Linked DNA regions of Xenopus tropicalis. The protein of the gene in region 1 purifies or fractionates together with the protein of each later gene. This does not show direct contact. Links are inferred from orthologs where the notes say so. Each region holds a gene or a part of one and is shown in the gene's direction. Other genes may lie near its edges. The genes, in order: lin28a, kri1, ebna1bp2, brix1, pop1, rpl31 and sf3b2.

The links.
Region 2: the proteins of lin28a (region 1) and kri1 purify together in Homo sapiens (affinity purification with mass spectrometry; 3 studies listed by BioGRID and IntAct, with this or other methods). This does not show direct contact. The link is inferred for Xenopus tropicalis from reciprocal best matches to the Homo sapiens genes LIN28A and KRI1.
Region 3: the proteins of lin28a (region 1) and ebna1bp2 purify together in Homo sapiens (affinity purification with mass spectrometry; 3 studies listed by BioGRID and IntAct, with this or other methods). This does not show direct contact. The link is inferred for Xenopus tropicalis from reciprocal best matches to the Homo sapiens genes LIN28A and EBNA1BP2.
Region 4: the proteins of lin28a (region 1) and brix1 purify together in Homo sapiens (affinity purification with mass spectrometry; 3 studies listed by BioGRID and IntAct, with this or other methods). This does not show direct contact. The link is inferred for Xenopus tropicalis from reciprocal best matches to the Homo sapiens genes LIN28A and BRIX1.
Region 5: the proteins of lin28a (region 1) and pop1 purify together in Homo sapiens (affinity purification with mass spectrometry; 3 studies listed by BioGRID and IntAct, with this or other methods). This does not show direct contact. The link is inferred for Xenopus tropicalis from reciprocal best matches to the Homo sapiens genes LIN28A and POP1.
Region 6: the proteins of lin28a (region 1) and rpl31 purify together in Homo sapiens (affinity purification with mass spectrometry; 3 studies listed by BioGRID and IntAct, with this or other methods). This does not show direct contact. The link is inferred for Xenopus tropicalis from reciprocal best matches to the Homo sapiens genes LIN28A and RPL31.
Region 7: the proteins of lin28a (region 1) and sf3b2 purify together in Homo sapiens (affinity purification with mass spectrometry; 3 studies listed by BioGRID and IntAct, with this or other methods). This does not show direct contact. The link is inferred for Xenopus tropicalis from reciprocal best matches to the Homo sapiens genes LIN28A and SF3B2.

The regions. Positions count from the first base shown.
Region 1 is NC_030678.2:77,459,091-77,462,590, forward strand, and holds part of lin28a (protein lin-28 homolog A), read left to right. Parts: intron 1-2,423; coding exon 2,424-2,602; intron 2,603-3,500. UniProt on the Homo sapiens protein: RNA-binding protein that inhibits processing of pre-let-7 miRNAs and regulates translation of mRNAs that control developmental timing, pluripotency and metabolism.
Region 2 is NC_030679.2:138,188,439-138,191,938, reverse strand, and holds part of kri1 (protein KRI1 homolog), read left to right. Parts: intron 1-125; coding exon 126-219; intron 220-456; coding exon 457-534; intron 535-631; coding exon 632-753; intron 754-834; coding exon 835-961; intron 962-1,142; coding exon 1,143-1,238; intron 1,239-1,436; coding exon 1,437-1,607; intron 1,608-3,500.
Region 3 is NC_030680.2:88,304,899-88,308,959, reverse strand, and holds the start of ebna1bp2 (EBNA1 binding protein 2), read left to right. Parts: upstream 1-1,261; 5' UTR 1,262-1,288; intron 1,289-2,200; 5' UTR 2,201-2,206; coding exon 2,207-2,278; intron 2,279-3,981; coding exon 3,982-4,061. UniProt on the Homo sapiens protein: Required for the processing of the 27S pre-rRNA.
Region 4 is NC_030677.2:199,190,419-199,193,272, forward strand, and holds the end of brix1 (ribosome biogenesis protein BRX1 homolog), read left to right. Parts: intron 1-430; coding exon 431-481; intron 482-583; coding exon 584-685; intron 686-1,154; coding exon 1,155-1,283; intron 1,284-2,022; coding exon 2,023-2,271; 3' UTR 2,272-2,354; downstream 2,355-2,854. UniProt on the Homo sapiens protein: Required for biogenesis of the 60S ribosomal subunit.
Region 5 is NC_030682.2:129,320,696-129,324,195, reverse strand, and holds part of pop1 (ribonucleases P/MRP protein subunit POP1), read left to right. Parts: intron 1-498; coding exon 499-686; intron 687-847; coding exon 848-1,101; intron 1,102-1,601; coding exon 1,602-1,695; intron 1,696-2,055; coding exon 2,056-2,164; intron 2,165-3,500. UniProt on the Homo sapiens protein: Component of ribonuclease P, a ribonucleoprotein complex that generates mature tRNA molecules by cleaving their 5'-ends. Also a component of the MRP ribonuclease complex, which cleaves pre-rRNA sequences.
Region 6 is NC_030678.2:110,303,131-110,307,244, forward strand, and holds the start of rpl31 (60S ribosomal protein L31), read left to right. Parts: upstream 1-1,314; 5' UTR 1,315-1,338; exon of another isoform or gene 1,339-1,342; intron 1,343-2,048; 5' UTR 2,049-2,050; coding exon 2,051-2,157; intron 2,158-3,170; coding exon 3,171-3,296; exon of another isoform or gene 3,297-3,326; intron 3,327-3,812; exon of another isoform or gene 3,813-3,902; intron 3,903-4,114.
Region 7 is NC_030680.2:40,092,282-40,095,781, reverse strand, and holds part of sf3b2 (splicing factor 3B subunit 2), read left to right. Parts: intron 1-1,880; coding exon 1,881-1,918; intron 1,919-2,702; coding exon 2,703-2,750; intron 2,751-2,924; coding exon 2,925-3,074; intron 3,075-3,500. UniProt on the Homo sapiens protein: Component of the 17S U2 SnRNP complex of the spliceosome, a large ribonucleoprotein complex that removes introns from transcribed pre-mRNAs.

The DNA.
Region 1 (3,500 bases):
GAAAATACACAGTGTAAAAAAACGCCACGTGTGGCATCAGCCTTAAACTGCAACTACGAAAATTCTTGATTATATATTTTAGAAAGATTAAAGCTGTATCTTAAAAACTTCTAGGGACCCAAGTCAGGCTACATATAGGTGACTGCAGAGGTGGTCGAAACACCTGTGTGCAACATTAAAATTGACCAATGCCAGCAGCTTATTGGTCTGTGTATGGTGCTTGTTGTTGCTGACTGATAGCTGGCTGAAAGCTGGCACGAACGGTCTGAAGGCGTCCAAATGTGTTTTTTTAGTAATTATAGGTATTTTTGTGACTTTTTCGTCGCCGTAGCGACTTTTTCGTATGTTCCGCGACTTTTCCGTCGCCGTTGCGACTTTTTCGTATATTTTCCGCAACTTTTTAGTTGCGGAAAAATCAGATTGGTTTTACCACTGTTTACAATCGTTCAATACGAAAAAATCGCAACGGCGACGGAATAGTCGCGCAAAATACGATAGTCGCGGTTGCGATGAAAAAACCTCTCCCACAGGAGATTTCGGAAAATCGCCGAAAAAGCCTCGAGTCTTTTTCGGCGATTTGCGCGAAATCGCGCCGCCGCGTCTGCCATCCCGCCGGTGACTTACATGTTCGCCGGTGGGATGGCAGGGGGAAGGCAACTCGGGGAGATTAGTCGCCCGCAAGCAGGGAGTTTTGCCGCGGGCGACTAATCTCCCCGTGTACCAGAGCCCTTAGGGCGAAGACACACAGAGCTACTAGTAGCAACTACTTGTCATGGTTACAAAAATAGTAAATGCTGATCATTTGCTGATAATTGTCTTTACGTGTGTTTTAGCAGAGGCATTGTCTATCTCATTGTCTATGGCAGGGTATTTCCTGGCCTACTAAGTAGCTTCATGTGTCTTCACTCTAAAAGTTATTGTGGGCCTTTAAGGAAAGCTAAGTAGTTGCAGCAGGACTGACTTGCAAATAATTTTGTACAAGTATAACACAAATGGAAAGATAGCCCAAAAACACAGGGCTGTAAAAATAGCACAACTTTCTGAAAAGTGGGTGTGGTTTGGAGCAGATCAGGGGCACATCTTCATGTAACTGAGCATGACTAGCGCATATGAGCATTGTCCACATTTTTTTATATTGAAATGTTGGGAAGTATAATGTTCAATTTCCCTGCTGTCATTGGTTGATCATAGGCTAATATTACATGTGGTCTTTTCTCTGCCAGGATAAATAAGTCAGCAGAGAAAGTGCCAGTCTACTGCCATCAGCCCTAATTGCAGTAGAACTGATACATATGGCATCCACCTGCTTACTCAGTGTTAGCAGTGATAGGTGGATGCCATAAGTGGCAGTGCTGCTGGAACAAAGGGTGTATTACAGTGGATTGGTGTACTCTCTGCTGGAGTATTTATGGTGGAGCAGAAAAAGCCACATATGACCTTAGCCTAAGTGTTCAGGATCCTTTTGTTATGAAAAGTTTAGTTTTAATTATAGTTTAGTTTTGGGTTTATCTTAAGGTAAATTGCATTTCTGTAGCCTCATTTACTGTAAATTGAAATTCTAAATGCTACAGTAAATATCCCCAAACACACTGCCTATGACACTGACTTCACATTGGGAATGTTTTCAGCATCCTTGAAAGATTTAGTTCAAGATTTTTTGACAATTTGTTCAGTGCATTTTGTCCTGCTTAAAAAGTAGCATCAAAACACCAGTAATTGTCCAATGCTGTTATTGCTGAAAAATTGCATTAAAACCACAGTATGGGCAATTTTAAAGAGTTTTATTTCTGAAAAATATTAATGGGTGCAGTAGCAAAAATACCATGTATACCATGAGCAATTGGGGATAAAGTAATAGAAGTCACAAGCGTATATCGCAAACATATATAACAATGGGAAATGAGATTAATGGGCACACCGCTTTTTATAGTATGCTAGAAATACACTAGTAGTGTGTAATATTTAAATTGCAATCTGGGTTAAGAAAAAAAAACCTTTACTAGTGCAACAATTGGTTTGTAATAGGTATCCTTTAATAATGTAAAAACTCGTACTTTACAGTTCTCATAAACCAGGGAAATAATGGGCCAGATTCAATGAGAATAAAATATACTCAAAAAAAAAATATTCATGTATTGGGTAGCAATTTATTGTGCTACAAGCACTTCCTCTTCCACTGTAGCTTACAACCTGCTGTCCTATGTGCATTTTACTATTGCTTGTCATACTGGGCCAGATTAGGTTCCATGAGAACATTTTATTTTACAGTTTATCAAGTATCAAGAAAATCTGGCATTGAATTAGTAAATCAGTTTTTCTCATCAAATTAAATCTAGCCTATTGTCTATTAACAGCATGCAGATCATTCACTGTGTAGATAAATTACATTTATATAGTTAACTGGTTGTATGTTCTATATACAGGAGGGCTTCCAAAATCTTTGGATGAAACAGCAGATATACACAAAAGTGATGAATCTCTGATATTTCAAGGATCTGGAGTATGCAAGTGGTTTAATGTCCGAATGGGTTTTGGATTCCTAACTATGACCAAGAAGGAGGGAACTGATCTTGAGACCCCAGTGGATGTTTTTGTTCATCAGGTAATTATAAAAAAAGAAGTATATCTGTCATATTTAATCTGAGATTATCTGGTGGTTAGAATGTATGATTCTAAATGAGTGTCTGTATCTCCGTATTTACAGCCATGCTATTAAAACGTGTAGTTCAGGATGCACAGTTGGCTTCAGGGATAAATATAGAACAATATACGTGCTTCTGTCCTCCATTTCTAGGTAGCATTTTTGGTTTTGAGGCAATGTTGTGAGAATAGCATTAGGTGTGTATTTAACGTCTGTTTTTAGAGATTTGTGTCAGATGTACAGTGGAGGGTTTTTTTCTGCCTGCTTAAGTCCATCTCGCATTAACCTTATTCATTCCTTCTTTTGCTCCTTTACGGGAAACCAGAGACTGAGTCATTATTTGGAAAGTGGATTGTATTCTCATGCGAAACATTTCATTCTAGTGGTGGGATGTTTTCTTTGGTGGCCCCCTACTGTCATCCTTTACGTAAACCTTGCATATGAATAAATATAATTGCCAGCAGAATAAAGTAGGCAGGATGCCCAGCAGGGAAGTAAATGAATGAATAAGGATATACTCCAGGCAATGGGCTCTACAGTTGTTAACCTTTTGCTGACCCAGGCCAGGCACTCCCAGGATTCACATATGTGGGTGGCATACAGACAATATCCAACTTTATTGCCCAGAAGGTACAATTTCCTTACTGCAGTAACTAACATTCCAACATCAAAAGGTCTCTATCCTGGCCAGAGACACCCTCCCACCAAGTCAGATGCATTTCCTATCCTAATATCTACAGTGTCTAAATGATATGGACTGAGATAAGGCATCCTGCACCAACAAGAAGATATGATTCAGTGTGTTTGGAGTAGGATGAAGTCCAAAGGGTAAAAAGGGTGATACATAAACATCCTGTCC
Region 2 (3,500 bases), on another chromosome or scaffold:
TCCAATCGGCTCCCTGGGCGATAATGTGTCTGTATGTGGTTTTCTGGGTGCCGTTCTGCAGGAGTTGGTCACTGGCGCTTCTGAAGGGGACACATTTAACCCTCAATTCTATGGTTCCTTTGCAGCTTCCGGACGTTTGTGGAGGACAGTGACAACGAGGACGGAGAGGGAACGGCGGGGAATTTATTGACGAGACGAATAAAGACCAAGAAGGAGCAGGTTGGTGGTGGTTAAGGAACTCTCTCTCCCCAGCCTTCCATTAGTGTCCTGCCTATTGCTGTTTATTTATCTCAGTAGTTCAGCTGGATTGTCTGACTATTGGTCTGTGTGTAGGTGAGGCTGCAAGCCTATTGGCCAATAGGAATTTCTCACAATGCCTAAGCTATCCTAAGTACAGCCATCTTTACCCCGTGCTTAATGTGGGGCCCATTAACATGTAATGTTTGGTTGTTACAGGAGGAGGAGGAAGAGGAATACATTGCCTGGCTGAAGGGCCAGAAGGAAATCCATGATAAAGGGGAAGTAAAGGAGATGGTGAGTGGCTGGGATAATGCTTCATAATAATAATAATGTCCTCTCTGTCATCCTGAAATGGTTTCACTCACTGCAACTTTCCTTTCTGTTCCATTAGGGGTTCCTAAAGGAATATTGGTCTGACCCGGCTCTGGATGAGGGGGAGAAATTCCTGCGGGATTATATACTCAACAAGGAGTATCTGGAGGAGAAGGAGGACTCTGAGGAGGATGAGGAATGGTAAGGTTTATATCATTATACATCTAAATACATAATATAAGTATATAATATTGATTAACTTGCCCCCTTCTCCCTGCGTAGCCCCCCAGCCCTAGAAGAGGCCCCACATGTGTCAGATTCAGAGGACGAGGGGGAACTTTTCCTGAAGAAACAAGAAGATTTTGAGAGAAAATACAATTTTAGATTTGAGGAGCCGGATTCTGATTTGGTTAGTTATACAGTTTGAGCGACAGACCTGAGCATTTGTGATTGGCTGAGTGCTCATGTGACCCATCTGTCTGTCTGTATTTTAAGATGGAATGAGCAGCTGCGGGGCTGCTTGGGGGACCCCCCCATCCCCGTTGCCATGGGATTCTGGGGCTCTGATAGTTTTCTCTCTCTGTTCCCAGGTTAAGACTTTCCCCAGAACCATCGCACAGTCGGTGAGACGCAAGGACGACCGGAGGAAGACTAAGAGGGAGGAGACCAAAGAGAGGAAAATGAAGGTGGGTGGGAGAAAAGGGCGGCAGCGATACAGGGTGCAGGGAGAGCAGGAAGAATAAGGGTGAACTGCAGGCATCCCTGCCTCCCAGCATTCTCTCTGGGCCTAATACTGACGTCTGGCCAAGCAGGGTGGGAGTTGGCGACAAGCACAGGCAGAGTACATAGGTTTATTAATGGCGCCACTGCAATCTGTTCTGCAGGAGAAAGAGAGGAAACAGGAGGAGCTGAAGCAGCTGAAGAACCTGAAGAAGAAGGAGGTGCTGGGGCGGCTGCAGAAGCTGCGGGAGTTGGCAGGAGAGAAGTCCTTGGACGTCACAGAGGACGACCTGCTGGAGGATTTTGATCCGGAGAAACATGATCTCATTATGCAAGTGAGACTGCTGGGTCCCTCTGTCTGTCCTGTGTGGGACTGGCGCTGCCTGTACTGTATGGGGGGGGGGGGTGGGACTGGCGCTGCCTGTACTGTATAGGGGGTGGGACTGGTGCTGTCTGTACTGTATAGGGGGTGGGACTGGTGCTGTCTGTACTGTATAGGGGGTGGGACTGGTGCTGTCTGTACTGTATAGGGGGTGGGACTGGCGCTGTCTGTACTGTATAGGGGGTGGGACTGGCGCTGCCTGTACTGTATAGGGGGTGGGACTGGCGCTGCCTGTACTGTATGGGGGGGGGGTGGGACTGGCGCTGCCTGTACTGTATGGGGGGGGGTGGGACTGGTGCTGTCTGTACTGTATAGGGGGTGGGACTGGCGCTGTCTGTACTGTATAGGGGGTGGGACTGGCGCTGCCTGTACTGTATGGGGGGGGGGGGGTGGGACTGGCGCTGTCTGTACTGTATGGGGGGGGGGGTGGGACTGGCGCTGCCTGTACTGTATGGGGGGGGGGGGTGGGACTGGCGCTGCCTGTACTGTATAGGGGGTGGGACTGGTGCTGTCTGTACTGTATAGGGGGTGGGACTGGCGCTGTCTGTACTGTATAGGGGGTGGGACTGGCGCTGCCTGTACTGTATGGGGGGGGGGGTGGGACTGGCGCTGCCTGTACTGTATGGGGGGGGGGGGTGGGACTGGCGCTGCCTGTACTGTATAGGGGGTGGGACTGGCGCTGCCTGTACTGTATAGGGGGTGGACTGGCGCTGCCTGTACTGTATAGGGGGTGGGACTGGCGCTGTCTGTACTGTATAGGGGGTGGGACTGGCGCTGTCTGTACTGTATAGGGGGTGGGACTGGCGCTGCCTGTACTGTATGGGGGGGGGGGGGGGGGGGGACTGGCGCTGCCTGTACTGTATGGGGGGGGGGGACTGGCGCTGCCTGTACTGTATGGGGGGGGGGGGACTGGCGCTGCCTGTACTGTATGGGGGGGGGGGGGGGGACTGGCGCTGCCTGTACTGTATGGGGGGGGGGGACTGGCGCTGCCTGTACTGTATGGGGGGGGGGGGACTGGCGCTGCCTGTACTGTATGGGGGGGGGGACTGGCGCTGCCTGTACTGTATGGGGGGGGGGACTGGCGCTGCCTGTACTGTATAGGGGGGGGGGGACTGGCGCTGCCTGTACTGTATAGGGGGGGGGGGGACTGGCGCTGCCTGTACTGTATAGGGGGGGGGGACTGGCGCTGCCTGTACTGTATAGGGGGGGGGGGACTGGCGCTTAGGGGGGCCTGTACTGTATAGGGGGGGGGGGGACTGGCGCTGCCTGTACTGTATAGGGGGGGGGGGACTGGCGCTGCCTGTAGTGTATAGGGGGGGGGGGACTGGCGCTGCCTGTAGTGTATAGGGGGGGGGGGACTGGGCGCTGCCTGTAGTGTATAGGGGGTGGGACTGGCGCTGCCTGTAGTGTATAGGGGGTGGGACTGGCGCTGCCTGTAGTGTATAGGGGGTGGGACTGGCGCTGCCTGTAGTGTATAGGGGGTGGGACTGGCGCTGCCTGTAGTGTATAGGGGGTGGGACTGCGCTGCCTGTAGTGTATAGGGGGTGGGACTGGCGCTGCCTGTAGTGTATAGGGGGTGGGACTGGCGCTGCCTGTAGTGTATAGGGGGTGGGACTGGCGCTGCCTGTAGTGTATAGGGGGTGGGACTGGCGCTGCCTGTAGTGTATAGGGGGTGGGACTGGCGCTGCCTGTAGTGTATAGGGGGTGGGACTGGCGCTGCCTGTAGTGTATAGGGGGTGGGACTGGCGCTGCCTGTAGTGTATAGGGGGTGGGACTGGCGCTGCCTGTACTGTATAGGGGGTGGGACTGGCGCTGCCTGTACTGTACCGGCGCTGTGCATGCATGG
Region 3 (4,061 bases), on another chromosome or scaffold:
TAACAACAGTGGAGTAGATTATTTTTTATAATGCAAAAGTTTCATGAGTCATGTGGCACAAATTACATCACTAAGGACTGATTATAACCAATGACATTAATAAGCACTGTTTATACAGTGAATTACACACCCCCTGTTGTGAAATATAAGTAATTTATAAGTCATGGCTCTTATTTATTATAAAGATTTATTTTACAGGATGATCATAGAAATTGTGCATTATAACCTACTTCTGAAGAGCCACACTGAGCTTCAGATTAAGTAAATTGTATGCCAGTATTTTGTGCTATTGCTTGATAGGAGATACGATAATATTAGATACTGATCCAAACAAAATAATTGTACAAGCCTAAGAAGATTTGTTATTCATGTAAGTACAGTGGCTATTTAGAATGGCAGAGAAAATCGACAAGGGCCATTTCTATTATAATGTGCTCAATGTTCAAATAAACTTTATGATTGTAATTGTGTATGCGCAGCCCCTCCAAACCGCCCCTTGACGGGACCGGCACATAGACTGCACTTTACTTCTCAGTAACATATCGGTTATTCTATGGAATCAGGATAATATGACTCGGCTCAGTGTGTCACATATTACCAAAGTTGGACTGTGTGTGGCAGGATTAAGCAATATTTTCAAATAAGACTTGGTACTTGGACAGAACAACCTTTATACATAAAAAATACTATTATATATTTGACAACACCTTTGAATAGTCCTATAAGACAAATGTAAAGGAGAGGTTAAGAAATGGTGGGATTTGTGCACCTATCAGGTTAGTCAGTAAAATATACAAGCCATTAGCCCGTAGATTCATACTGTACCTCTCGGTGCGCTCAGAACTCGCTGTATATGACTGTTGCCATGGATACAGGGACGCTCCACATGTTAGAGACTTGGCCGATTGGAATGACGGGTAATGTAGTCTCCCAGTATCATGGAGGGAGACTTCCGTCTTTCTAAAGACTGGTCCCAATTTAGAAGTTCCCGGCCCCTACCCCATTTCTGTGTAGTGTTTCTCCCAACACAAATATTCATGTGGTACGGTTTAATACTGAAGTGGTAGCACAAGTAATACATATTTCAAACAGAGTCAGTGGTTTGTTTATGAACTGAGCCACTCGGAAATTACTTCTACGCTGCTAACTTATTGACACTTCAGGCGCACTGGACGTCGGGATTTGTAGTTGTAACTTGCACACGTGACACCCTCGTACAATTCCTTTCGTCACCGGAAAGAGGGAGGAAGGCGATATCCGGGTGGCAACACGTGAAGTTTGCCTGGAGGTAGGTGTCTGTCTAGTGTTGGTTCGGATATTGGGTCTCTTTCCATGTGTATATAATCTGTATGTTTAATGTGTACATCCCCTTGAAAGTACAGCAGTGTTGGCTATTATAGTGCTTTATAAATCCCTCTTAACAATAAAGACAGGGTGGAAATATAGCCTCGGCTGGGGGAGATGTATGTATGTATGTATGTATGTATGTATGATCGATCAGATTTTTGCAACATACGAATGTACAGATACTATCCGCTGCAGTTGCTTTTGCTAAACACAAATTGAAAGATTCTAATAATTACAAAATTCTGTCAATCCTTGTGTAACAGTTGCACAGAATACTTGCTGTAGATTGCAATCTGATTTTGTTTAAATTAAATGCATTTGTTGCGGCCCTCCTGAAAATGGCCATACACGTAGCGATTTTCAACCTTTCACGCGACCATTGGTTGCACGAAAGATCGTTCCCACCCTCCACTTAGATTTGAATCCCGAATGGGAAAAATTCGGATTGGAAACGAAAAAAGATTGCAAATATCATGAAAATGCTTACGAGAAAATCGTATTAGTCACGATAATATCGTATTGGCGATCCGAAAGTCCCGAAATTTTTGTACTGAACGATTGTAAACAGCGGCAAAGCCGATCTGATTTGTTTGCGAAAGCGCTGAAAAAATAGCGCAAGGTACGAAAAAGTTGCGGAAAATATGATTGGACCGATTGAACAAACGCTCGGAGCGTTCGTGGATAAGTAAATATGCCCCATAGTGTTTGACACTAATAGCGGTGAAGATGTTTAAAGAATTGCTGGTAAATCATATTTTTGATAAATTGTGGCTAATAAAATAAATTGCTGCAAAATTTAATTTTTGCACAAATTAAGATTTGATTTTTACTGTGAACTGTTTGAACATTCAAGGTAACCATGTTAGCCCATGAAGATAGTTCTCCAGAATCAGATTCTGACTTTGATGCCTCAGAGTTGACAGATAAAGAGGTGAGTTCATGATTATTTTTTTTTATAAATTTCTTAAAAAATAAAAGGCTGTTTATGATTGCAAGGTAAGGAACCTTTCATTGAAACAAGAGAATATCACTGCCCACTCTCATCCTTTCTCTTATCACTGATCTATGCACAAGCATTTTAGGTGGCAGGCTCCCCACTGGTGCATGAGCTTCTACACTAGCCTACACTGCTGTAGTCACAAGAGCTAACGTCACAGCAAGTATTGTGGAAGCATAAGCAGATTTCCAAGAAGTATGCTTCCTAAAAGCAGTAGCCAGGAGGGAGCATTAAAGAGCAACAAGCAGCAGGTTATCGCTAATCAAGCTAAAAGTTTGTTTAAAAACAAATATAGCAGTTTGGAGTGGGCCCTTTAGGGGTCATGGTGGATGATCTGTTACATTTTGGTTTAGTGGTTGACTTCTCTTTTAAAGGAGAACTAAAGATGTAACCTAGAAATGTTGTAAATTATGTTTTGGGCGTCTGTACCAGCCCAAGGCAACCACAGCCCTTTAGCAGGGAAGATCTGTGCCGTCAAAATGCCCCAGTAGCTTCCATCTTCTTTTCTGCTGATTCACTGCACATGCTCTGTGCTGCTGTCAGTTACTGAGCTTAGGGACCAACTTACAATATACTGTATATATAGAATATAAATATCACAATATAAGGCTGATTAGTAATTAACACAGATTATTACTGCATGGCAGCTCTGAAACCAGTGCCATTAGCATCAGACTTTAATGATCAGCCCATTAGTATAAGCTTATATGACAAACAACATCAACAGCTGCTCAGAGTGCACTGAGCATGTGAGTGTTGCAGACACTTCTAACAGAAGTGTCTGGTATGGTCACCACCTGTGACAAATTTAAAGGACTGAATTATTACTACTTTAGAGATGTTGAACCTTTAGGCTGGTTCAATAAGTTCATTATATAAAATATGGCATGTCTAGCCATATTCATTTTTAGGGTTTAGTTCTCCTTTAAACACAGGTGCCCATTCACGGGCCACTACTGGCTACTGATTTAGTCTTTCTTGACTTTCTGCCAGAGAATCAGCCTGTGGTAAAAGTAACTTTTTCCAATCAATATTTGTTCAGGGTCATGCACATATGAATTAACTTGGGAGAGAAATCATGTTGGCCAAGACTTAATCTATCTGCATTGAGCATTGCACATTTGCCCTAGTCAGTTGCAGATTCTTTAAGACTTGGTAAAAGCAATGGTCTTCTCTGCTTTGATCATAACAGGTTGAAGCCTTTATAGAATTATGGTAAAAGATGAGGGTCAACAAAGCAGAGTAAAGCACTCTTCACTTTTAAGTAATAATATGGACTGTTATATAAGGTTTAATAGCTATAAGTTGGGTATATTAAACAAACAATAGAGGCATTCAATGTTAATATACAACACTGTAATAAATATGGCACTGTTAATAACTCAGGGAAAACTAGTGGAAATTATCCTGGAAGCCATGGATCTTCATGAGCTGTAGCGCAGCTGGGAATGGAAATCTTTCAATTTGTTCTCCATCAAATCAAACTTAACTGCTGTTTGGTACTGGGTTCCAGCAGTGGTGTAGTTTAGCACTTATACTGGTAAATGAACCTATATCTTTTCTGTAGTGAATTGCCTTGTACCCTGTGATAATCAAGTGTATTTTACAATATCATTAATTGTTTACTTCTGTTACAGTTGCAGGAAGCATTTTCTCAGGGGAAACTAAAGCCTGGATTAAATGTGATCTTAGAAGGAAAGAAGAAACCTTTCAATGA
Region 4 (2,854 bases), on another chromosome or scaffold:
TTCTATTGGGTGGGGCTGGCACAGTTTACAATTATCATGCTATTTCCTTTCTGTCTGCTGCCACTCGAGTATTGCCCCACTGTCTGTGCTAAGCAGGAAGGGAGAATGTAGAAAGATAGGTGGAAACTAAATGTGGGTTATGTAGTTCCTGCATGCTGTCTGTAAGCTGAGGAGAAATTATAATTTATAACATGAATGTTTTAGTCCCTTCTCCCCTGCCAGGATTTCAAATGATGCAGAAAGAGAGAAACTGTTTTGCAGCTAGATTTCAGCACATAAAAATGGTATTTATTCCTACTTTTTGAAGGCACAGATTGCAGTGGTTGAGAAGCTGGAGTTCCCCTTTAATACAGGGCCTGTCTGTACCATATGTCTCTCTCCTCTTCCTCTTTTATTCCCTTCCACTCAGTAAAATCATTTTTCGTTTCAGGCATTTGACCGGGACCCTCACTATGCTTTGCTGAAAGAGCTACTTACACAGGTACATTATATTATATGCTCATCTGTTTACTGTATGGGGGGGGGGGGGGGGGGGGTGTATAGTCTGTCCCCTAAATATCCTTTTGCTTGTCTCCTTATTCAGATTTTCGGAACCCCGAGATATCACCCTAGAAGCCAACCTTTTGTGGACCACGTGTTCACTTTCTCCATAGCCGACAACCGCATCTGGTTTAGGAATTATCAGGTGGGTAACGGGGGGGGTCAGTCTTGGGCGTCAGGGCTGGGCGAGAGACGCTTCCCATATTTCTGTTGTGTTATCTGTGTTAAAGCCATATATCATCCCAGAGAATCCATGTGTATATACATATATGTATGTGCTGCACATAAGTGGTACCAAACAGTTGTTAATTCAGTCAGTTTTCTCTGACTTGCTAAGCTTATATGCAGATGCAAAGCTGGTGGGATATAAGGGTCCCTGTTAGGAACTGTGCCCCATGTGACTCAATACTGTACTATAAAGAGAATGTTAGCCTTACAGTAAGACGAGGAGAAGCAGTCCTGTGAATGCAGGAGAGTAGATTAAATTCCCAGTGCTAGTCCCCAAATATTGCACATTGGTTTCAGGCAGATACATCAGCCTTAGTGTTTATTTTTTGCACCCTTCCCAGTGTGTGTACAATCAGAATAATAAGTTGTGTTGTTGTGTCTATCAGGTTATAGAAGAGGATGCAGCCCTGGTGGAAATTGGACCCCGTTTTGTCCTAAATCTCATTAAGATTTTCAAGGGAAGCTTCGGAGGGCCGACACTCTATGAGAACCCTCACTACCAGTCTCCAAACATGGTACGGTATTCACTGCCATCATGGCACACTGGTTGCTGGGACCTCCTTTATAGGCCTGTTATTTAGGCTTCTGCATTCTTACGAAACTGAGTCCCAGGAAAAGTTGCCAAATGATCAGTTAGTTAATTATAGACAGTGGCATAACTACTGTGAGAGGGTGGGGGCTGGGTGAGCCTATTCTGCTCTGCCCCCCCCAAAGATTTTTATCTTTTTTCTACAGGGGGGCCGGTGCAGAGTAGACTCAAGCTCACATATTAATCCCCACTCTCCGCCCACATGTCTACCTGAGAGACCGCATGGAGCGGTGATTTATATGCAGCAATGAAGCAGACCCTGCTGTCCGGGTTGTTATGCCGCTGAATATAGGATTAATCAGAACATCCAAATGAACCTGCAGGTCCAAAAAGAGTAGGAAGGGTTCAAGCTGCGTGGTGCTAATCGTTCCATCACCATCTAGAGCCCGTTCCAGAACTAGTGGATTCTCTTCTTGTAGGCAAATCTAGAACAAGTTATTTGAGCTGAGGGGTTTTGGTACCCTCGTATTCTGGTAACAGCTGGTATAGCACATCTATATTGGGGGGGCTAAAATGAAGGGTCTGGTTTCTTGCAGTGCAGCTGGGAGAAGCTTGATTGTTCATCCATTATTAATGGAAGCTGTAGTTCGGCCCTGACTATTTTCCCCACTGTGTCGCGCTGAGCCCCCTTTAGCTAATGAAAATCCTATGTGTTCCATTTGAAGCACCGGCGAATGATCCGAATGGCGACAGCAGCCAAGGTGAAAGAGAAGCAGCAGGTAAAGGAGCTGCAGAAGATGAAGAAGGAGGAAGACAGACCGGTTATCCCTGCCGATCCCACAGAGTCTGTGTTCTATACTCCAGCTGAGGAGAAACCTCAGACCATTGAGACGGAGCCACCGGCACCCAAGCCCAAGGTGAAGAGGAAAGACAAGCAGTTCAAAAGGCAGAGAATGGCTAAGAAACGCATGTGATGTTTGGGGGGCCGGGTATTGGGGGAGGGGGTATTAGCACGGGGTATGGCTGTTTTGTATATTAAACCTTATCCTAAAAGCTATTCTGCTGCTGTATGGGTGCTTTTCATTCTTTATTCTTAATGTAGATTTAGGTCATAAACAGGCGGCTGGCTTGTGGGGCATTTTATTTAACGCAGAAAACACTGTATGTTCCCATAGATGGATGGAGCCAACTAAACTAAGTAACCAATGATAATATATTGCCTGGCACAAGCATATCTGGCTCCTCCGCCAGCACCAGCGCTTTGTATCCGGATTCAGCAGTTAGCGTTCAGATTCCCAATGCACCTTCATGATTAATGACCCAAACAGAAGGCAATGACGCTCTTGGCAAAACAATGTTTTTATACTGAAATAAATACAAAATCTTGCATGATCTAGCATGATCTGGGGCACAGCAGTAGAAAGATATACATTTGGAGTAGGAAAGACTTATCTGGATATCCTGGCTACTTGTTGCCTTTCCTTGCTTTGCAGTCCAAGTCTCATAATCCCACTTTATTCCCAGTAGGAGATGTTCAGATATTCTGCATTCCTTGCT
Region 5 (3,500 bases), on another chromosome or scaffold:
GTAGCAGTGGGGGGATAATAGCCTCTGGGAAGGGGCTGTGGCTGTGGGACAGCAGGTATAGTAGGGAGAGATGGTGCCTATAGTAGCAGTGGGGTAATAGCCTCTGGGAAGGACTGTGGCTGTGGGACAGCAGGTATAGTAGGGAGAGATGGTGCCTTTAGTAGCAGTGGGGGGATAATAGCCTCTGGGAAGGGGCTGTGGCTGTGGGATAGCAGGTATAGTAGGGAGAGATGGTGCCTATAGTAGCAGTGGGGGGATAATAGCCTCTGGGAAGGGACTGTGGCTGTGGGATAGCAGGTATAGTAGGGAGAGATTGTGCCTATAGTAGCAGTGGGGGGATAATAGCCTCTGGGAAGGGACTGTAGCTGTGGGATAGCAGTTATAGTAGGGAGAGATGGTGCCTGACCATTCATTTATAGATTATAACTGTGGGAAATTGTAGGATATATCAGTCTCGATCTATGTAGCCCAGATGTACTCTATAATTTTGATCCTCAGGCCCATCTTTTGCTGCTGCCTTGTGTCTCTCTGGAAAGCGCCAAGGATCCTTGGTCCTGTATAGAGCTGATAAATACCCCAAAGAAGCTCTCGGTTCTGTTACATTTCTCTGGAAACCAGCCTGTGTCCCTGATTCTCCATCTGAAAAAAGGCAGTTGTGGATATGGTGTCACCCTACTCTCAAACAGGTAAGTGACCGTTTCATTATTTTATACTGGCAAATCTCAATTTGAACCTGGGCTTAGGCTAAATTACTGCTATTGATTTTAGTTTCTTACTGCAGTTTTTTTGTTTAAGCCTGCCATGTTTTTTATGAAATTGGAATAAACTCCATATACATGTCTGATAGGACATACTGAGAGAATTAAGACAAGTTTGTCAGTGTGAGGAAGCTCCTGACATTGCTGTCTGCAAGCCCGAGCCTGTTATTGCTCCACAACCTGCAAAACCACAAACTACCCCTAAAACTACAGCGAAAAAGCGGAAGCGGAAAGATCAGGAAGGGGAACAGGCAGTACCTGTGAAAAGAATCATTGGCGATGGGACTAGGGATTCTCTGGATCCATATTACTGGACATCAAAGCATACAGCCATCAGAATTAGGTATGTATAAGGCTTGTGGCATATGCCTGTTCTTTCTGCTGCTCTGAAATGTTAGACAGTGGCATATGGACTGTGGGTCTGTGGGTTCTGGCAAATGCCAGAGGGGCTGCTGTAAGATGCCATAGACAGTCACTATTTATTGGGCTGGTGGGGCTGTTTGGGCCTCTGTGTCCTTGCAAAGCCAGGGACTATTTTAAATCCAAGTTGAGGCCAGCACATGAATAGTATAAGCCCTAAACAAATGTGCTTTAAAAGGTGATTACTATGGCCAAAATGGTGATTGTAAGATCACCTTCCAAACACTTTTTCAGGTTTCCCTTTTACAACTTCTGCATTCTAATGTTGCATGTTCTTCAGGTCCTTCTGTAGTCCATACTTTGCAACAGTGAATTGGCCAATGTATATTTGTTTGCAGCAGAGACTTTTCATAGCACCAATGCATGTGGTGTATTTGAGTTATCCTATTCATTACATAAAATCGGCTTAATCTCTTCTCCTAGTGATCTGACTATGGAATTTGTGCGCTATCGACTGACTGGCCCTCTCTCTCACAGTGTGCTGACTGAAGCTTTGCGTTCTGCTCCACTTCATAAGGCAAGCTGAGGATTTCTTATTTGTTTTGTATGTGACAGGGTTACCTAACTACTATGCTTCCATAATGTGGCAGCTAAAAGAATGGTACTTTGATTAACTTTGATATATAATTTTACTTTTATACAGGTTTATTATATTTAGTTGCCTCCAGGAATACCTGGAGCTCTAAAGCTGTACATGCTGTACGACTCTGCTTTGTACAGCAGAAAAATGTTAACTTTCCATAAACTGTCCCACTGCACCACCTAGTTCCTTAAAGTTATTGCCACTTAAACAGAGGCTGTAAAATTGGCCAATCCTGTTAAAGTTAACCTGTATTTTCCTGTTGAAATCAAGTCTAATGTACAGCCTTATTCCTAGGAAACTGAAAGTGATGCAGGGCCTCATACCTGGTGGGCAGATTACTGCAGTAACCCTGAGAATGTCAGACTCCATACCCTTCAGGAATCCATGTTTCAGCTGCTGCAAGGTACCCTCTCAGCTTCTCTGTTATAGGATTTCTTGTATCAGCCAACTATTTCTCTGTGCTACAAAGCAGAGTGGGATAAGCTGGAATACCTATCATACTGAAGCAAAATATAGGTCTCTGCAAAACAACACAAGCATCTGTGAGTGAGCTATTTGCTACTCAACAAATAAATGCAGGGGAGCTCTGTTTAGCCTTCAACTTACTTCTAATACCGGATATTTTCAGCTTGGATAATTGAAAGCCCCATTATAAAATAGGGCTGCTCCCATTGTTTGCCCTTAACCCCCCACCAGATTTTACATACAGCTTTATTAATAACTACATATGAGAGAGCTACATTTTTACCCCTTTTTATCTGTTGGCAAAAATTGTGGGTTCATGCCCCTTTTGTGGTTCACCCCCTTAGCTTAAAGCAAGGTTATAGCTATATTTGCAAACTTAAGATCGGCAAGGAGTATTTGCTCTCCCCTAGCACACCCATCCGCTGCTTTGAGACCCTTTATGAGGCCATTCCTCTGCTTTAAAGGGGTTGTATTCACCTTTCAGTTACATTTTAGTATGTTATAGAATGGTTATTTCTAAGGAACTTTTCAGTTGGTCTTCATTAATTATTTTTTTTATACATATAAATTAGGTGTCGCTGCCTTTAGACATTTTCCAACTTTCAAATGGGGGTCACTGACCCCAGCAGCCAAAATTATAAGACTACAATTTTATTGTTATTGTTAATTTTTCTATTCAGGCCCTCTTCTATAAATGTCAGTCTCTCATTCAAACCACTGCCTGGTTGCTAAAGAAATGTAAACCCTAGCAACAAGATAACTGCAAAAATATCATGCTATAGAGCTGCTGAGCAAAAAGTGAAATCATTAGAAAAATAAATAAATAAAATCCTATTACAAATTGTCTCAGAATATCACTCTTTAGTATAATGTAAACTCAAAGGTGAACTACCCATTTAAAGATATCAGTAAACAGGTTTTCTGCAGAGTAAAGCTGGCCATACACGTGGCGATCTGACGATGTTTCGTTCGACCATAGGTCGCACGAAACATCGTCAGATCCGCCACACACCGTCAGGGCTGAAACAGCAGATAAGGAGGTAGAAACAATAGGATTTCTACCTCCTTCTGCCGATTCAGCCCTGACGGCAGATTTTGGTCAGGCGCCTTCTATGGCGCCCGATCAAAATTTTCTAACCTGGCCGATCGGCAAGTCGTCCGATATCAGCAGCTTCCTGCGATATCGGTCGACTCGCCAACATGCCATACACGCACCGAATATCATACGAAACGAGGTTTCGTATGATAGTATCGGTGCGTGTATTGCCAGCATA
Region 6 (4,114 bases), about 33 Mb from region 1:
TATGTGCACTTAAAAGGGCCTGTCACCACCATATAAGAAGCCACATAACGAGAGGAGCAGCTGAAGGAGTGTGTATGGGGGGGGCACTGTGTATGGGGGTATTGTCTCAATTGGGGGCACTTACTATGGGGGCGTTGTGTATGGGGGTACTTTCTATGGGGGCACTGTGTATGGGGGGTACTTTCTATGGGGGCACTGTGTATGGGGGGTACTGTCTATGGGGGCAATTGGGGGCACTTTCTTTGGGGGGGTACTGTCTATTGGGGCACTTTCTATGGGGGGTACTGTCTATGGGGGCAATTTCTATGGGGGGCACTGTGTATGGGGGGTACTGTCTATTGGACCACTGGGGGCACTGTGTATGGGGGTGCAAAACTGGTACAGTTATAACTCACTTATAACTGACTGCCTTCTCTCTATATTTGTGTTTTATATGTAGGAGTTGCTATATTGTTTTCCTTAGGTAGTACAGTATGAGGGTATGGCACAATTTGCATCTGATCTCACCATTTCAACTATATAAAGGAGTATTTTTTGGAAAAAAAAGGATGGGGTGTGGTAATTTGCGTGGCCATAAAAGTGGGCGTGGTCAAAAAATTGCAGCACTGCACACGCCAAATCTTTTTGTCCCTCTTTTCATTGTTCAAATGTTGGGAGGTATGCTTACAGTCTGAGCCGAAGGTGTGTACCTTGTAAAGATTAAAATGTGTGAACACTATAGGGGATTACATGTTTAAACAATACAGGGGAATTACAGCCTGAATCTGAGGTGTAAACCATGCAGGGGGGGCAGTTTACACAAAGGGAAGCCATCAAAGCAGCCAGACAGGTGGGGGGGGGCACACACTGGGGTGTCGTGGGCCACATGCAGCCCTCCAGTTGGACAGCACTACCTTAAACCAAAAACCAGATGACATATTTATCATGGGTTATATAATGAAGACGACTTATTAAAAACTCCCCATAATGGAAAACAAAATTCTAGTTCCAAACTATTAATAAATGAATCGCCTGACACATCAGCATTGATATACTGTGGCATTATAAAACGCATACACTTAAGATACATAAACTGTACGTTATGCAGAAAAGCCTCATTACAGTGCCTAGCACTTGCTTTCTGCGCTTCTGTTTCCTTATAGCTTTTCTCGCTAAACACAGTTACGGACGCTAAATCTATAGCAAGCTGCTTGTAACTATAGCAACCCCTTTTCCGCATACGATTCTCAGAACGTAGCGGACGTCATTACGTCGACCCGGAAACGCATTCACGGGGTTGGAGTTTACTTCACTCCCACAATCCTTTTCTACTTCCTTTCCGACATAGTCCCTGGTTGAGTGAGTACGGGCGAATGTAACTGCTCTAATTCTATCTGTAACCATCCTCGCTCTGTCTCCATCGGATACCTTCGGTTGTTCCCGGGCTTGTCTGTGAGACTCGGGGCGACAACTTAATGTCATTATCTGGAGCTAAATAGGAAATAAGATGCGTTTTGTGTATTATCTTACCCGGGAGATTAAGGCCGCGTTCCAGATGTTAGCGACATTAGGATCTATGGCATTAATGCAGATATATCAGCTAAGCCCATACCATTACAGTACTAATGAATCACTGCGGGCATTTCTGGGCCTTTATTTCATATCGCAATTGAGAGGGGGGGGGGGGTAGGTTTTCAGTAATCGCATCACCCTAGCGACGTGGGGATGGTGGACGTCTCTGTTAGAGACATTTAGTTTTTAAGAATGTGATTTGTACTATGTATGTTGCCGGCTATAGAAATCATGACATAAGCCGAATGTATTCTTCATATGAGTATTGCAGCAGTAGCCACTCGGTAGTACTGTAACTGTGTCGGCTTCCTTGTCACTGAGTGGCCGGAAAGTGTGGCTGAGGCTTGAATTGAATAAAACTCACCACGGTATCCCCATAAATCCAGTACAATCTCTGCCCTTTCCAACATTTTGCCATGTTTTCCTGCGTTTAGAATGCAGAACCTACATAAAGGTTTCATCTTTGTCACACGTCTGTTGTTTTTCTCTTTCCAAAGAAATGGCACCAGCAAAGAAGGGTGGTGAGAAGAAAAAGGGCCGCTCTGCCATCAATGAGGTGGTCACTAGAGAATACACCATCAATATTCACAAAAGGATCCATGGAATGTGAGTGTCCTTGATTTTCTATAAAAAGTTTGCTTGGATGTACTGGCTCACCGCGCTGGTCTTTAACATTAACAGTAGTGGATTTTCACGGAATAAAACTATTTAAGGGTTTTTTTCACTTGTGCCCCATATAGTTAGGGTTTTTGTCAGCTTAAAGTGATACTGACACTAAACCCGGCCATACACACAGCCATATAATTGTGCAAAACCTAGTTTCGTATGATATTCGGTACGTGTATGGCGGCTCGAAGAGGCGATCGATATCAGTCCATTGGCCAGGTTGAAAGGTTTTGATTGGGAACCATTGAAGGCACCCAAGCAAAATCTACATTCAGGGCAGAATCGCCAGGTCAAGGTAGAGATTATATTGTTTTTATCAACATATCTGACGATTCAGCGCTGAACGTCTGTGGAGGATGAGAACGATCTTTTGTGTGACCAATGGTTGCACGAAAGATCAGAATTGCTGTGTGTGTTTCACCTTAAAAATAATGCACATTAAAAGTTACCTATAGGTCATGATGATCATTTTTTGCAGATAGGGCTGCTTTTGTGAGTAATTGTTACTTGAAGTTCCTAAATCTGACTGTCCCTTCTCAGCCTGTCAGTTATAGCTTCTAATGCTAACAGACTCCTGCTACACAAATATGGCAGCCTCCTCATACAGGAACATGGGGATCTGATAGGGAATGTAAAAGCATCAGGCAAATACTTTTAAGGCACAATTATAAATAGCATGTCTCTTTAAAAGATCAGTTTTTGCATCTATAGTTCATTCAAGCTATTAAAGATTGTTTGTCTTGTATAGGTTTTATAGTTTATGTAGAATTCCTACAACATGAAATATTTATATAAGCAGTTACTGTTTATTTACTACTTAGCTTATCTTTCTGCTTAAGTAAAATATTCACAGTGTTTTGTATTGGGTAGGGTATTTTTGCCATTGTTGCCAAACAATTAACCACTTTTTTTCCCTCTAATAGAAACTTTTATTAATACATTTTTTTTTTTAGTGGGTTCAAAAAGCGTGCACCTAGGGCTCTTAAAGAGATCAGGAAGTTTGCAGTGAAAGAAATGCGTACTCCTGATGTTCGTATTGATACCAGACTGAACAAAGCTGTTTGGGCCAAAGGAATCAGGTGAGTCTTGGATATAAAACCTTACATATACTGTATATACTCGAGTATAAGCCTAGTTTTTCAGCACCAAAAATGTGCCAAAAAAGTCACCCTCGGCTTATACTTGAGTTGGGTGCCATGGGCCCCTCCAGACTAGCACCCGCTGTCCTTTGTGTGCAAATGAGGCCCCCCGCAACCAGACCCTCCAGTGCCCTGGCTGCTCCCAAATTCATCTTCATCTGCCATCATCACCTGTCCCATTCTGCACTACACATTGCACTTTATATTCTATATAAACTATATATAGTTTTGAAGGATTTTAATTCTTTGCGTTTAAATAAATATTTAAAAACATATACCCCACTCATTTAATGTCATTTTATTGGTATTTATTTTGATTATTGAAACTTAGCAGTAGCTGCTGTATTTCTCACCCTAGGCTTATACTCGAGTCAATAAGTTTTTCCAGTTTTCTTAGGTAAAATTAGGTACCTCGGCTTATATTCGGATCGGCTTATACTCGAGTATATACGGTACTGTAACCTTCCATAGCTTTTCAAGATAAAGCAGCACAATCAGGCTTCTGCACACCAATTGCTTGTAGGCAGCAGTGCTTCTTGGCTGTTGCAAGCCCAATATAGTACACCAAAGACAAGGCACCCAAAATTTTCAGTGGGCTATCTACCTATATCCTTTACTATAAAGCAGAAAACAAAGGTGGTTTGCAAGAAAGAACACACCATCAATTCCCTGAAAAAGTTTTAGCACTTAAATGTATTGAGGAGAAAACTTATTGCTACAGGTTAAGTAGAGGCAAATTTTTCCGTATACATCTTTAA
Region 7 (3,500 bases), on another chromosome or scaffold:
TAGCATTCCCCTATATCAGTGCTGTCCAACTTCTACGGTGCCGAGGGCCGGAATTTCTCTAGCATACATGGTGGAGGGCCGCTAATTGTAGCCAGTTTTGACCACTCCCCTTTTTGAAACCACACCCACTTCAAACCACACCTATTTTATCACAATGGTGGTAGCACAGCAAAATCCCAAATGCTTGGTCCTTACTGTGGGGATATCAACCATCATTCATATGTGAAAGAATTATGTCATATTAAGATATACCCTTAAATTCCATATGCCTCCTCCTCCCCTGTGGATAGCAGAGCAACCCCCAGTACATAATTACACACCTTAGGAACGATTTAATGGCTATTTCCAACTGCTAACAAACTCCCACAACAAACCCCTGCCAGGTTCACCTCCCACAAGCAGCATAGGGCAAGCAGAGTATGGCACACACAGGCAGCACTCTGCCTGTCCTATGCTTTCTGTGTGTGCCATACCCTGCCTGTGTGTGCCATACTCTGCCTTCCCTATGCTGCCTCTGTGTGCCATACTCTGCCTGCCCTACCCTGACTGTGTGTGCCATACTCTGCCTGCCCTACCCTGACTGTGTGTGCCATACTCTGCCTGCCCTACCCTGACTGTGTGTGCCGTACTCTGCCTGCCCTACCCTGACTGTGTGTGCCATACTCTGCCTGCCCTACCCTGACTGTGTGTGCCATACTCTGCCTGCCCTACCCTTCCTGTGTGTGCCATTTCCTGCCTGCCCTACCCTGACTGTGTGTGCCATACTCTGCCTGCCCTACCCTGACTGTGTGTGCCATACTCTGCCTGCCCTACCCTGCCTGTGTATGCCATACTCTGCCTGCCCTACCGTGACTGTATGTGCCATACTCTACCTGCCCTATGCTGGCTGTATGTGCCATACTCTGCCTACAGTACCTATGTCTGAGGTGTGAAGAAGTAAACAATTGGAGTGATTACAGTCTGAGCCTGAGGTGTGAACACTGCTGGGGGTGAACAATGCAGGTATTAAAAGGTGTGAAAAACACAGGGAACTACATTTTTAAACAATACAGAGGGATTACAGCCTGAATCTGAGGTGAGAACCATGCAGGGGGCCAGTTAATCTCAGTACTGATACCATTTAATGCTTACTCACACAGAGGGGGGTCGCGGGCCGCCAGTTGGACAGCACTGCCCTATATGACAAATTAATTTAACAGGGGTAGGTAGAAATTTGTGCACCATCACATTAGACTATGTGTGTTGCCAGAAAACTACAGCAATTTTTTCATCAGCTGTATTGCTGGTCTCAAACCTGCCTCTATCAAGACCATTCTAGAAACAGGGTGAACTTTTTCCTTAGAATTTTCTTTTCCAAAACCCTGTCCTTTATGAGAGTTGGAATTGAAATCTGATTATGCTTTGTGTAACTCCATATCAGGGCTAGGGGATTTTCTTCTAGTTTTCTGTTATTAGTTTAAGTATTTTTATAATGACATTCTTAGGACCAGAGATACACAATGATATAGAACTTAACAACTGGAAAACTGAAAACTTGTTGGCAACATTTCACAGCACCTTTTTGTGATATAAAAGGCAGCAATGACCACATGTTGACTGGCAAGGAGTACAGAAGGGATGCAAAGGTATCATGTGGTAAGGCTGGATATAGAATCAGCCTCTTGTATATTTCCTGAGTGGTTACAGTATACTTTATTAAAAAGAAAGTGTTTGTAAATAATTATTCTCCACAAGGTCTTTTGCTGGAAGGTGTTATTCCTGTGAAGTATTATGAAGGATATTTCCTCCTTAAATTGTAGAGCATAGTACTTTTCAGAAAGTGTATTCTATGTAATATTGAGTTACTAGTACATCTTATTAATAATGTCTCTTTCCCACAGGAAGCAGAGAGGATATTATGGATCTTGCTTCTCCACAGGTAATTTACTGTGTGTTACTATATATTTGTCTGGAATGTCTTACAGTCAATCCTTACCCCTTTTTTTAATTTTCACTTTACAGACTGGTTAACTGACCCAATAACAGGGCATTTATAATCCACTCTGTGTTTGCACTCACAGGCACTAAGTACACCAAGGAGCAAGAGGATAGAGGATCAGTTGATTCTCAGGCAGTGTTTATACACATGAAAAGAATCAGTCCCATGTGGCAATAGCTTTACTAAGAAGTCCCATAACTCCCATACAGTTATGGGCTTTACACACATGGGTGCTAGATTACATTAGTGTAGGTACTGATAGCAACCAGTCATGTCTTTGCTTTCATTTTCAAGTTATTTGCTGATTGTTTGCTGTTGGCAACTGCATTTTTGTGTAATTTAGCAACTATGTTAGTAAATGAGCCTTTAAGTCTTTAGGATCACCAGAACCCAGCTTTTTCTGCTTTGCTTCATTCAAATTTTAAGCAAAAGCTCTCTATGAAATCTCTATGAAAAACCCTTTTCATACGTTTACTTTAGCAAAATCCATTATTTTTCTCATGGGCAAGGCAATCTTCAGTGAGTGGGCATCTTTGATTTTTTGTTTATACTGAGATAGGTATTTGAATGTGCTGGTCAAGTGATTTGAAAATGCTAATATGATTCCTTCCTGTTGAGTAAAGAACCCTATTTGCACAGATCAGTGGGCCAGACATAGTTTCTTTTGCAGATAACCCTGTTTTATATAAAAGCTTTATTGTATCTATGTTTTCTTTTATTTTAGGTTCGAGATGATGCTGAAATATCCTCTACTGCTGTTAGATTGGCACAGGTGGGTGTGCTGGCTAAATTAGGATCAAATAAAACAGTATTTTTACTTTTTATAAACTTTGCCTTCTTGCTTATTGAGTCTTTTTTTTTCTGTTACTCAGTCTACTCTGCCTGACCATACTAATTCTATTTGTCTTATTCACCCTAAATAAGTGCTTTCTTGTCCTTTTTATAGATGGCTGGGATGCCTCTACCCACACTTCAGGCTCCTCCCCCACCTCCTGGTCTCGGAAGAGGTTTTCCAATAGGTTTGCCTCCTCGCATAACTACTGACACTGATGGGGTAAAGCAGTCACAAGGTCCAACTCTTTCACTGCAGCCAAAGGTAAAAATGTATTTCCTGTCCTAAATGATCAGACTCAAAAATGTGTCATTTATTTAAGTATCAGTCTCGCAAATGATTCTGCAAGTCTTTATGTGCAAAACTGAGTGATTTGTTAGCCACAGGGTTCCAGGGATATTTTTATTATGTCAGGTAGTATCACAACACCATACTTAATGAAACCAAATTTTGAAGTCTTTAATACAAATGCTGCTGTGTCCCATTGGAGAGATATAGCAGGGTTGGAGAAGAGAAAAGAACACTGTGACCCCTGGATTTTGGTTCATCTTCATGTGAAGCCCAGGTTTTATATTCAGTACTAGATTTGGTATATTCTCTCTGCTTCCTTACTAGGAGCAAGAGGCAATTAGAGAAAATGTATTTTATGTTCTGACTCGGGGCTATTGAGAAACTGTATGGGAAGTTGTC